2 linked regions of the Styela clava genome follow. The protein of the gene in region 2 interacts with the protein of the main gene of each other region in a pairwise test. Links are inferred from orthologs where the notes say so. Each region holds a gene or a part of one and is shown on either strand. Other genes may lie near its edges.

The links.
Region 1: the proteins of methylenetetrahydrofolate reductase (NADPH)-like (region 2) and proteasome subunit alpha type-1-like interact in a two-hybrid assay, tested with the Caenorhabditis elegans proteins (3 studies listed by BioGRID). The link is inferred for Styela clava from reciprocal best matches to the Caenorhabditis elegans genes mthf-1 and pas-6.

The regions. Positions count from the first base shown.
Region 1 is NC_135255.1:11,108,199-11,115,530, reverse strand, and holds the start of proteasome subunit alpha type-1-like, read right to left. Parts: upstream 3,001-7,332; 5' UTR 2,845-3,000; coding exon 2,842-2,844; intron 150-2,841; coding exon 3-149; intron 1-2. Other genes in the region: mitochondrial inner membrane protein Mpv17-like, read left to right, coding at 3,308-3,395, 3,792-3,901, 4,098-4,175, 4,245-4,373, 4,443-4,495, 4,573-4,672. UniProt on the Caenorhabditis elegans protein: The proteasome is a multicatalytic proteinase complex which is characterized by its ability to cleave peptides with Arg, Phe, Tyr, Leu, and Glu adjacent to the leaving group at neutral or slightly basic pH.
Region 2 is NC_135253.1:4,400,237-4,407,375, reverse strand, and holds the start of methylenetetrahydrofolate reductase (NADPH)-like, read right to left. Parts: upstream 3,016-7,139; 5' UTR 2,911-3,015; coding exon 2,669-2,910; intron 2,256-2,668; coding exon 2,017-2,255; intron 1,663-2,016; coding exon 1,552-1,662; intron 1,132-1,551; coding exon 938-1,131; intron 99-937; coding exon 1-98.

The sequences.
Region 1 (7,332 bases), on a different chromosome or scaffold from region 2:
ACCTTTAGTGCAACAATTACTGCATGTGTTTTTGACTTCAATCCCACCGTAGCAGATCCCTGTTTCACAGCTTCCATTGCATACTCAATCTGGTGTATACGTCCCTGTGGGCTCCAAACTGTCACATCATTGTCATATTGATTTCGAAACTAAAACAAAAAGATTTTGCATTGCGAGTTTGCAGTGTTTATGAAACAAAATAATAATATAGGTATAATATGTTATCACCGATAAGCAGGTATACGATACAACTGTAGTCTACAATGTAATGATGAATTTGGAAACTTGATGCTCATACGGCTGTACGAGAACATGTCAGCTTAAAATGCATGTGTGACTGGCATCAAAATGGCTTATTACTGTACAAGGCAATTTTTTATTCATTTTTAATAAAACATCAATATCAAACTACAAAGTCCGTAACTTATTTCATGAAAATTTTTATCGATATTATGAAGACTCCCTCAAAAATATCTTTATCACAGGTACATACCGTAAACGCAGGTAACTTCGGATGGTTTATAACTTCGGATGAAATTTTCAATCGTTTATATCTCGACTAAATTACGTCATATTCTGCTTCTGGCAGTTTCTATAGAGAGTCCTTATATATCTTAATCTCTTATCATATTCAGTCGCCTAATAGGATTTATTTTTTGACACAAAAAATCACCTTTTTGCCAAAAATTGACACCTCGCTTTTGAGCGGCTAAAATAGCGACTTCTATCGACGCTAACTTCACTAAAAGACCGTCAATCGCTAGAGGGCATACACAATGTACAAGGAAAATTACAGTGATCACGAGATGTCGTACGAGATTTAAGTAAAATATATTATTTTGATTTAAAAATTTCGTCAAAATATCGACGTTACGGTGCTTACGCTGAACGTGACGTCAACAACGTGATTCAATTTCGCTCCATTTAAGGCCGACGTCACATTGCGTAGCTCGTGCGTAACTCGCTGCGACATTTGAACGCCAGACTATGTGGCGCCACGTGTAGTTAAATATAAAGTGAAAACTCCTACCTGATCCTCGTCACCAAATCCTACAAAAACTTAATTATAGCCCCGGTCATATGCTGTTTATTTATTGTGAATCCGATTAATGCACATTAAATTTGTGTGTTAACATTTCGGCATTCTTCGACCGTGTAGATGTTGTTGATACGTAAGGCTGATGAACAGCCAGATACGCGTATCTATACTATCACAATGACAAGGTTTTACGATCGGCGATGATAATATATTAAGAGTAGAATGTTGCACAGGTGAGCATGAAACTCTGCACAGGTGCACACAGCAGGAGATTGGAGGTTTTTGGCGTTTTTATCCGTTTCATGTCTATCTGCCTGTGAATACATTATATCTGAATTATCAACACGGCCACAAGCTACACTGTTCCATATTGTTGTCCACTTCCATTTTTTTTACTTTTACTACCTACCGTAATTCATCATCCATTTTTCTATTTTATTATTTTCATTCGTTTCATTTTTGTTTTGTATTAAAAATTGTTTTCCATTTTTACTTTTACGACTTATTTTATTCGTCCGTTTTTTATTTTCATTTGTCCCATGTTGTCTCATTTTTGTTTCGTATTGAAACGATCATAATAGCAAGATATAGCACTTTCATGAAATTAAGAATAGTCAAGAGATAAATGGTTTAGTTTTGCGAAACGTCAGGAATAGGGCTGGGCAAAATTATTACATGCGTTGTATTTTGAAGCATTTAGCGGTAATAATTATGGCGCGACACTGTCAAAATCGTCGAGTAAAGTGCTGAGTTCGCAAATTCCGCAGATAAAATTGTGAATTAGTCGGTAACGGTTTTAGCTATAATAACCGTTGGGGTATTGTTTTGTTCAAAAAAAAAGTTAAAACTTGAGGGAAATAGTTATAATTAGTGTCCGACCCGCTATCAGGACCAAAAGCCTTATGCCAAGTATAAATGCATAACGGCCGATTTATTCAATCATTATTATAAATAAAAATTCAGTATTCGCACAATCGCGGGTGCAAAGCATAACAACATCAATCATCGTCTTAATAAATATCTCCATCTCGGCGACGATAATAATATCACCGTTCGCTTTAAACTCGAACGATTAATAGTATACAAACGGTGATAAGTAAGATCAAAGCCAACACGTAAGATTAAATCAGAACAAAATTAATTTGGGTTTTGAAATCAGTCCTTCTTGTCTTCAAGAGCTGTTGCCGATGTAAACACACGGGTACACCAGATATATAAAACTTTGATGTCCGCCGACCCGGAAGAATTAATAATAACAAAAACGGCCGTCATAGATGAACGTCAGTGTGCACCACGCAAAACGAATCACGGCGTCGTAAGTTCTACGCAGCGACGTTATCACGCGTCACTGATCACGCAGACATTTCTCTCTCACGACGAAGTGACGCAAAGCGAAAAGTGGCCATCCGAAGTTATAAACATTTGGAATACAGATCGGCAGGCAAATAAAGTCAATAATTTGAATGAAAAAAAGTATTGATTGATATGAAACCGAGTTTATCGCGAGGAGAAAGGCTTCAATGTATTATATTCCAAGTTTGGCTTCAATTGAACAATAAACGGCGGAGAAATTGTTCATAATATAGTGAAATCATCCGAAGTTACCTGCTTTTACGGTAATTAATCAAATATTTTGGTTAAAATGATTCAGTCAATTCAATTATTTGGAAAAGATTTGACACATAAATATAAATAGAGCATAGTTTCCAACTGCATTTACAGATGTCTGGATGTATTGCTATCAAAATGGCACTCGTGTTGTTACTACATAAATAGATCTTTAACTAATCTTAACAACTTACCATCTTTAGCAAATTTAAACAATTACTGGATTAACAGAACTAATCTAGCAGCATAAATCAATAAACGAAAACTAAGCAATATAGTAGCTACCGCTGATCTGGAACTCGTCGCATGAATGATGATTCATGAAATCTTGTATTGCTCAGCAGTTTTGCTCTCGGTGAACCGTAACGAAAATTTTGCAAAACCAGTTTCCAAAGATAATTAACAATAGTTTTATATGTATATATATATTTTTAGAAGACATTCAAAATTTATTAAAGTATTAATAACATAAATATAAAAAAAAAACAATATTCGTGAAACACGATGCGGAAGTAAAGTTTCTCATATTTCACTTCGTGTTCAGTCAGCGTTCGTCAGTGTTCGTCAAGAGGTTACGGGCAAAGTGACTTTGGTTACGGGTATCTTCCAAACAACGCTGCATCAGTGTGTGTAGTTTTGCAGTACGGTAGGTTGGGAAATATGAATACACTCACCGTCGACGTGTTATTAAAAGCCTATGGAGAACTTGTGGAACAACGACCTTTACTAACTCAAACAGGCACAGCAGGTAAACGTTTCCTTTTTTCAGTCTTTATATTGAAATAATGCTGAAAATAGAATAGACAGTTCAATTTACCGGTATTGGTTTATGAATGAAAAGTTCCCATCCAGCCATCCATTTCAACTTGTTCTCAGATGTGCATGATCCATATCTGCATAGTATTGCACCGCTGTATCCAGGTATCTGTGTATTGTCTGAATGAATTGAGATGTCATATTTTCATTATTGCATATTACTCATTTGATCTACTGATATTTTCTCTTTTGTTATTGGATATTCATTGTTGATCTTTTAAACACCTTGTTTCTTCTCATAACTTCAGTTGTGCCAGTGATGGAATTGCACTCAGCATGCAGGCATGAGAGTTGTATTTTTAAAGCTGCTTTACTTATCATATATAAGGTATCCTCACAACATTTGCTGATGTCATCTCACAAAAACTAGTTGAGCAAAAAAAAGGTTGTGACCTTCGACGAACAACCATCATGGCAGCATGTGCTTTAATGTATCTTGTAAGATTATTGTTATGTATTATTCAAAGTCGATTAACTTCATTATATGTCAAATTTCAATTTTTAAATCGTGCACATCTTAGTTTGCAAATTGAACTGAATCATGAGAATATTCATAATTAGTCATATTATATATTTAATATAAGTCACAGATATTTATGCTATTTCTTTATTGATTTAATTAAAATTTCTTCAGGGTCCTTTAGTTTCAATGTGGTATGTGTTTCTGAGTATGCGTGGATATTCAACAGGAGTCAATGTCTTTTTGGATCAGGTATACACTTTATATTATTATACATATGATATTTGAGTTCATAAATTAAACTGTTTTATCTTATTTTAGTTCATTATGTCTCCACCCCTCCTCTTCGGATTCCTTGTTTTGCAAACCATATTATTTGGTCAAGGAACGAAGGCTATGAAACATCGTATCAGACATGATTTACCTGATGTTTTGAAGATTAATTGGCTGGTAAATATACAATATCCATAGCTCATGAATTGTTTTTGTTTTGTGTAAATAAAAGGTTATATTTTTAAGATATGGATCCCAGCTCAAATAGTGAATTTTCAATTTGTTCCTTTCCAATACAGGTAAGATTTCATTTACTATTTTTATTACATGACTTGTTTTCATTTTTCAACTTACCAATTTTGTGTCCTATTCGCAGGATGTTGTATTCACAAAGTATTGCACTTTTTTGGAATTGTTACTTGTCATATAGGACTAACAACAAAACACGAATTCAACCTATGGAGAGCGTCATGTAGGCGAGACAAGGTTGAAGGGGGTGGATATTGTTATAATGTGGATGGAGGATTAAAAAATACATTGCTCCTGACTCAAATGTATTAAAAGGGGAAAAAATATTCGGAATAATAGAATTGTATTCATGGCAGAAGCAGATATTCCTATGAAGCAGTATTAAACCTCAGTCTAACACTTCTATAGTGCCAGTGTCATTGCTTAGTGTAATATGCTATATAGAACTAATATTGCAAGTGTATTTGGAGTATTCTGGTATGGTACCAGACATTTCTATGTTATTTTGGTGGGGTTGTGATTTTTATCTTTTAAACATTGCAGTGTAGATTTTCTTCAATTGTTATTGTAAGCAACTAAGTGCAATACTGCCTCGCAGATCTTTAAATTGTCTGATAACTTTTTTATGTAGCCTCTGATAACTTGTTTATGTAGCACACCTAAGTTTATTCTTCAACAAATCATTTTATGTTTAAATTTCATAAGGAAGCGTTTTATTTTATCGTTTAACTGCCAATTATTATTTTTTGCTTTCGTTGTAATATACATTGGTAAATTTCCATAAATTAATGTGATGGCCATACAAACCAGTGTTGCGTATCTAAAACAATTGACTCGTCTCAACAGAAACACTATTTGCTGTGTTGTAGATGTTACATTGGAAATATCTTATTAAAGTACCAAATTCGAAATAGTTATTTTTAGCACCGAATACCGATATAAAAGTTGTCAATACATGATTTGTTAATACATGATTAAGTTGGTTTAATGGAAGTTACAAATCTTAGTGTCAATATTACTCATATTTATCCATTCCAGTTTTGTTTTGAAATCCACTATGACTGACCACATTTTTGAAATTTTCTGCAACTCTGGAATTTGAATCAAGGCTCTGTGATGACCTGTGACTCGAGCTTCAGAGACTATTTTCTCCCAAATGCTTGTGCTTGCAGTATTTTATGTTCACACATTTGTACGAAACTATAAAATGCATATATTCCCGCCCCTTCGTTGGAAGGGGGCTAATCACAGAACTGAATAGGTCATGATTTTTTAGAATCTTTACAAAATAAGTAAACTGATGGCTTTTCAAAATAAATGTTTAGGATAAAGTGTTGCTTTCTGCAGCCCGTCCTACATTTACCCCATCTATTGATGTGTTTAATTTACCATGATTCTATAGAGATTAATTTGTCTGAATTGCTGATTTATAGTATGTCACAGGTGTCTAATTTACCATGATTCTATCGAGATTAATTTGTCTGAATTGCTGATTTATATTATGTTTTCATTAATCTTTCATGCAGTTGGTTTCCAGCATTGGTGTTCTAAGGCTTATTACAAAATTTTCAAATAAATATGCTTTGACATGCAAGACCACAATCCAAAAAATCGTGGCAAATATCAGTTCTTTCTTTAATCAATACACTCTGATACCCGTTCTGGCCTTTGTCTTTTTTATTTTGAATATATGTTTGTGTGTTGAACGTGGGCAAACTGGCGCATGTATTAAACCTTTATAAAGGTTTTGCCAGTTTTCCCAATCTTCTGTGTGTTCATTGCTTGTGTTTTTTGTATGATTCTTTTGCGGGAAAATCAAAATATACTTATACTTATTATACTCTGTCAACAATTTTGCACTAGTGGTGACCCTTTTGTGTGAGAAAAGCATGAAAATAGATACTTTTGGCTGCTAGCAATCTTGAATCGCATCTTGGGTTAATGAGACTGAGTCTACTCTTCAAAAGTAAGAAACTAAAGGAATAGTAAAAATATATCTGTCGTGGGAGAATATAACCTCGAACGTCGTTATAAGAGCTTCATTAGCGAAGTGTAACAACATCGCAAGACAGCAACGTGAAGATAAAATTAAACGGTTTGTCATTATCTTTGAACCCACGTACAATCGCACCTGCATACTTTTGCACCCATGAACAATTGGAAAGGATTATAACTCGCAATGACAATAAAAACGTAGCGACTCTCACTAAGAATAAGGGCTACTTAAAATTTGTAATCCGTCTTCTTTTCAAATATATTTATATTTGGCAATTAAAGTTTGTCTAATCGCGAACATGACTGTTATGAGGCGCATGCATATGCGTGAGAATGCCATGGGTACAAGAATTCGTGGATGCATATGTGCATGGGTGCAAATGAACATAGGTGAAAATGTACGTGGGTGCAAATATACGCGGGTGCAAATGTCCGCGGTTGCAAATATCCAGTGTGCAAATGTTCATGGGTGCAAATGTTCGTGGGTGCAAAAGTTCATGGATGCAAATGTACCTGGGTGGAAATGTTCGTGGGTGCAAATGTACGTGGGTGCAAATACACATGGGTTCAAATGTTCGCGGGTGCAATCCACATGTGGGTGCTACGATCTATGGATGGAAATGTTTGGGTGCAAATGTCGGTGGTGCAAAAGTATGCAGGTGCGAATGTCCTAGGTGCAGTTTACGGGTGCAAATGTACGTACGTTCAAATGTGCTGTCATCAAATTAAATATTAGTAAGTCGGTACGTAGGCAAACCACTATCATAAAACACAGTGGCGGCGCGTCAATAGGGCCAACCGGGGCAATGCCCCAGTTATTTTTTCGGTATAATAAAAAAATTTTCGAAAAATACTCCAATATCGGTTGCACAGACTGTCTACACTAGCCATA
Region 2 (7,139 bases):
GCTGCATCATTATCTTTTATTGGTTCAATAATTTTCTGCACATCCTCAGGGACTTCAAGTTTCGATAATTTTGTCAGTTGAACAAGAGATCTGTTCGTCTGATGCACAACAAAAACGATACATAAAGTGTTAAATATTGTGCCAGATAGTGCAAATGAATCATATTCATTTGCACTAAGAAGTACATTTTACTGAGGCGACAAATTCCAAGATAAGATTAACATTTGTTTCCAGTACTTTTCTAAGTGAATTGATAATGTGTTTTCATAAAAAATATTCCTTTCAAAATTACTTTACATAATACACATTTTGAAATTATTCACTTTATTTAAATTAAATGTCTTTAAACCTGTCAATAATGGCATCACCAGCTGGATTTGCAATTTAGCAAAATTACCATATTCACGGAAATCATTATATGACGTGTAATTAGTGAAAAAATGATGCAACTCTTTCTGTTGTGCATTCCCTTATCAATTAAAGTTCCAAAACAATATCCAACAGACAAAAATTAATCAATCAGCGAAACATAAATAGGAGTGATTTTTTAGCTTTTTGATAGATTAGTTGTTCAATTATAATCTGGACAAGTGTCATCCAAAACTCAATTACAAATAAACAATTGAAAAAAGTTTGAACTAGAAACAAACAAAGAAACTCCCAATTTTTAAATTTCGTTTTGGAAAAATTAGATATTTCATGACTAGCATTATTTAAATTTACATATATACCTACATATTTAATAAAAACATAATCGATAAATATTATAATCAAAAAAGGAATTATACTTGACAAAAATGATGTCATTCAAATTCATGGAGAATTGTGTGGTTAAACAACAAAGTTGCATAATATCAAATATTTGTTTATCTTTCAACAAACACACTGTGTGTGCTGAGTAAACTATGCTACTCAACTTTAACGTAATTAGCGGTACCTGAATCGGAAAAATTCCAGGGATAATAGGACATTGAATTCCAATTTTTCTGCAATCTGACTGAAATTTTAAGAATTCCTCAGCTTGGAAAAATAACTGAGTTATAATAAAATCTGCACCAGCATCTACTTTTTTCTTGAGATTGACTAAATCGTCTTTATATGATGAACAATCCGGATGACCTTTAGGATAACCTGAATGACAAATATACTTGTTTGATAATGGAAGCCACAAGACAAGTTTACTTCTGAGCCAAAATCAATATTTCGTACTTTATTTCACAATTATGTACAAAATGTTATTATATAATAAAATGATCAATGTTATTCTCAAAATACAACATCAAAGGGTTAAAAGTTCAAGTTTCCTTTGGTGCTTTCGTTCAACAAAATAAATAATATACACTAGTTTGCTTATCATTATCAATAAAAAAGTTTATTGTCTGTAAAATAGGTTTAGTACTAATAATGCAATAAACTATTAAAAAAAGTGTAATATTAGGAAATTTTCATGTAAGTTCATATACCTATTAACTCTTACGGAAGATAAACTCTTTGGTAAAATCTATATAATACGTTCTGCGAACTTATTTTTCAATTCCAATTTTCGCTTACCTGCAACACAGATGCTGAAATAATCTTCATATTCTTGACGGATAAGTTCCACTAAATCAGAACTATAATTCAACCCATTTTCATTCATTTCCCATTCGTCGCCTGTTGGATCTAAAATCAAATTATTTAAAAAAAATTCTTTTGTTTATGAGTACACCCCATCAACTTGAACAAAATTCAGAAGTATCTTTACAAATACTATCATATATGCCATTTTTTATTCACGATACCAATATGACTCCAATATATGAAGATATCAATAAAGCAAGTGAAAAGGCGCCAATATTACAATGGAACACTTCACAATCAAACAGAACAGAGAACCCTATATTTGTTGAAATAGAAATCTGAAATAGTAACAATTAAATATTTAATTAATTAATTAGTGTACTTTTTTAAATATTTAGTTTAATGTTTAGTTTCAATATAGAGTTTTCAATAATAAAAAGTGATATTCTTTCCTACCTCCTCTCAAGGCTAGTATGCTTCTGATTCCCAATGATTTAGTTTTTTCTAGATTTTTCATGATTGTTTCTCTAGTTTGATTGCAACATGTCATATGTAGCATTGTATCAATGCCACAATAATTTAGAATTGTCCCTGCAATTTTGGTTGAGGATGTTATTTTATCACCACCGGGGTCGCCAGCAGGATGCCAAGTTATGTCAATAAATAAAGGATTTCCGTCCCTCATACGATCCAACCTGATGAAAAGATGACACAATTTCATGTTTGCAAAAAAATTCATTCATATACTGGCAATTGAAGCAAAAAAAGATATGTTTTGCAGCTCAATTTCCATTATACTACTTAAGCTACTTTTTACTTTGATTCCTAAATTATTCCCAACTTTGGTAAAATTCATTCTCAATTACCTTGAGAAAGTGAAAAATACTAAAACACTAGACCAGTCATTTCTTAATAATTCATACTAGTGGTTAATTTTAAAATATACTAAAGTTAGAATAACTTATAAGTTATGAATAGCTAAACATGTTGCAACCTGCGGTTTTTTATACGTTTATTTGTACAGTTTGGGCATGAGATATCTAACCATATTGACCACTTTGAGTTAACTAAACTTATTTTATAAGTATTCTTAAACCTAATTGCATACCTTCCAATAAGATTTGCAGCCCCCTTTTCTGTTCGTGGAGGAAAAAATTCCAGTGAAAACCATGGATCTTTTGATTGCACACGATTGTTTATTTTGTTTTTTAGAGAAACGAAAGGAGAAACGCCATTGCACAACGAGTCATTCGTTTTGCACAATCCATCTGTTGCGGAGGCAAAACCATTTGTTGCCCCGTGCACTTCATCTCTTTCAACAGCATCTGCTTTTTCTGTCCCAGACACCATTTTTGTTTACTTTCTGTATTAACTTATTACACATACATCGAGAGAGTCCTCCAGAACCTCACACGAACGCACAGACGGTTACAGGCAAATGGGGACGATCGATGAAATTTTTCGTTTTTATACCAAACATAACATAACGCTTGATTGATCATGCATAGCATCAGCTGTTTTTTAAATTTGAAGGCGAGAGTTGAGTTCTTGAAACGATATATCGCGTCAATTGGTGAATATCATTGCTTTCAATTTGACTCTTATCACAAACGCGCTCAAACAGTTTTTATTGTTGTACACATATACATCATCGTAAATATTATCATATTAAAATTCGGTGTAGTATTTTCCCGAAAATGCGCAATTTCTGTATAACATTCCATGACGACTGGCACTCAAAAAGAAAAAAACGTGGAAAAATTACTTTCATTTACAGTTTTTGTTATTTGTCGAGTGACCCAATAACAACGCTGCACCTATATATCATTATTGGACACTAAATGTTTTTGTTGATGCTGAAGGTGGGATGATTGTTGTTGTTGTTATACTTACCAAAAGTCGCTAGAAGATTATCATGCTTTTTTGATTTCAATTTCAAGTTAGTGTTATTAATTATTTAATTTAAATTTATTGGACACGAATTGTACATACGCATGTATCGATTTGTTGTTAGAATTCCCATTTCTCATTCTTATCCATAATATTTATTTTATTTAGATTTTGTTGCGTTTTGCTTGTCCGCTGATCTTTTCAGAAACTCGGTGTTGTCAGGCAAGTTGAAAGCAAACTAAAGCTTTCCTACTACTGAGCTATTTAGGCGTTCGGCGATAGTTCATTAGTCAATTAACAGAATTTTGACACAAAGATAGGCATCTGGACCAGAACTCAACTTCAACTCTTCAAGTTTAAAGCCTGAGGTCACGCACTTGTATTTTATTTTTCAAGCTTCAACGCCCGAATTCAACAATTCGCGTATATTGTATATATATACTATTCTTTCTCAAGAATCAACGCCCAGAATCTTTGAATTTGTGTCTTATTGTCAACGTATATATTGAAACTAAATATTTTGTGTGTCAAACGGATCAGATGATGCATGGTTTATATACATTAACTGTGAATCTCATTGTTGATTTTTGGGGGAGCTGACTTTGATGACCTGGTCGTATCGCTCCCTCCAGTCTATACCGAATTGAGTTGCATATTTTCTCCCTCTCTCTAACTATTAGCTGTTGTGAGTCATCCGAGTCACAGGCTCATAGACCGAGGACAAAACATATTGTTTTGACAGAACAATTAAGATTTCCTGTCGCGCTTAATAAGTATTCAACTTAAACAGGGAGGAAAAGCGATATACATAAGATATTGTAGAATTATGACGAGCAAGTTAGTATTAAGTAGGCTAAGTTTGTTTTGATTCGGCCGAAAAACACATACATAAAACAATAAACGCACAAAATTTGGTAACGATTCATCGATTATGTGCTTGTGAATTCTGATTTCTTTCTGTTTGTTGCTGGGAGTCAAAATCAGGCAACAACAGAAAGTGGGTAGGCTGAAGACTAAGCTGAGAAGAACCGTATTTTTTTTTTATAAAATGACCATCAATTCAGACAAAGAAAAACGAAATGGGGATAAAGTTATCAATAAGAAATCGACTCGAGCACAGTATTACTTGGATACAACTTTGAACTGTTCATTTGTACGATACGAATAAATACATTTTTAAACCCGTGTACATTAGGCAGCAAACAAATCGGAATCCGGACGTTGAAAAAAACCACAAGGAGACTTGATAAACTTAACAGTATCACCGTGCATATTAGTAGGAGACGCAGAACATCACGAGGGTTATAATCAGTGGTGGGATTCAAATTTTTTTGTCAGCCGGTTCCTTCACAAAAGTCATATTTTTCAGCCGGTTCTGACACAAACAGAACATTGACAGTAACCAGTAATGCTAGCCGGTTCGCTGATCTCATAAAATTCCGTGAGACGGTTCTATAGAACCCGTGCGAACCGGCTAAATCCCACCACTGGTTATATTCATTTCATTACTTATGTTTTTTTTTTTTTAATTTTCAGCACAGGTAAAAAAAAATTTATCGTTGATAATACTTGGTTATTATTACAATCTGGTATTGACTCACCAGACATGCACCTAATTCAAGAGCATTATTCTCATGTAATAGCGGATTACAATGCAGCCGAATACAGGTTTATAATAAAACACGTTGATGGTTGTTGTACTTGAAAACATCTCAAGTTCGAAACCAGCATGTAAAAAAACTCGAACAATGAGGACATTTCTTACATGTTTAGCAAATTCCGACGTCGTAAATGGTTCTTCCACAGTCAAGTCAAGTTCATTTTTTACAACCAGTAAGAAAGTTAAGTTTTACACAAAATACTAGGAGAGAAGCCGCGAGAAACCAAAGCTGGTTATCGAGCAGCGAGACCCAGGGATCTAATCAAAAAGACGAACCTTACCTTTTTAGTGCATTGAAATCTTGTCGGGGAATGTATGGGACATTTTTTAACAAATCTAGGATAACAAATAACTCAAAAATGTACAAAAACACGCACATAGGTATCTAGCAAAACCTTTTATTTCACACCAGATACCAGATGATGACGTACCAAAATGATATCATGACGAAGGAGAAAAAGCACTTCTACTATAAAAGGAACAACTAAAAAGTAAAAAGCACTATCCACTAAAATATAGAAAGCATTTTTTAGGACTAATTCAACAAGAAGTTTTTCAAAAAGATGGCTTAAACTTTTAAACATTGAATTTGGAGTTTCAATGGTTTGTGACCTTATTTTTTTTTCAAGTTTAGGCGCTTGCCAGCCAAGCAGGGGTTTATTCTATTTCAAACCTCAAAATCTAAAGCTTAAGATACAAAATTACCTTCCATTGTATATTTATAACTAAAAGCTCAAATATAAGTAAATAAAAAAAGCAAAAAACTAAATTACAGCACCACTTCAGCTCATTCTAAAGAGCTTGTAACATTTTTAGTTCAAAAATCATATAGAAACTTGAAAGATTTGGCCCGCGACACACAAGTTTAAAAATTAGAAAATAACTTTGAACAATAAATAGTTAATAGAAGTATATACAGTTTAAATGTGAATCTATCAACTGTCCTTAATCACACATATACTTATTTATCGGATGACAAGAATCAATAATCTGATTTTAAAAATTTGATAAAAATGTCCAAAATGATATTTGAAGATATAAATTCCTATTTGAAATAGCATGATTTGTATGGGATCCTGCAGTATTATAATTCTCTCTTGGTAACCTATTAACATGCATGTTAAATTGAATACATTAACGTATAATTAACTTAATCTTATCTTTATAAAATAGTTCAATTGTGTTTATTAATTAAAAGATTACAGAAATGTGAATGAAATAGAAAAAGTTTATATGAAATCGATTGATGTACTACATACCATTACAGATGAAATCAATTGAATAGTGATTTAATAATTGAAAAAATAAATTGAAAGCAAAGCATTGTGCATTAGAAGTAAAAGAATAGGGTGAAAATTATTAAATTGTTGTCATTTGCTACACAAAACAGCAATGAAATGATGTTCATGATAGTTTATAATTCAAAAGTAATCATAAAAAGTTGTTTATGAATTTTCAAGTCAACAAAATGCTACTTGATACAATGTCTTAGTAACTTGATTTCGATTTGAACTGCTGAGCAGATTTAGTAGGAAGACTATCTGGGGAGAAAATTTTACAAAGACCCACATGTGTGTACAAACAATGATAGTGTTAAAAGCATCATTTCATAAGTGAAAAGCAATCGTAAGCAAGCATTCAAAAAAAAAAAATGGCCATGCAGTTAATAAAAGCACACATAGCCGACAAAACTTGCATAAGGAATTTGATTTAAATTCCATTTTAAAATGACAACTCCAAATTATGACATTTTTCTAGAAAATAATGGAAATTTCACAGCAACTTTCTTTAATATGACAAAGACATATTTTAAACATATATGCTCAGACATTTACAACTAATCATAAGTGATGCAAACCCAAGAAAATAACAACTATGCTTTTTAAATTATCAGGCGAAAATATTTAAATTCAGAAGTGTGTAAGAAGACAGGATGGTCTCCATTTTAATACCATATATCCCCGCATATAAGCCGATCTCTCATACAAGCAGACCCCCTCAAAGCGGCCAGTCTAATTTGCCAGTCTAA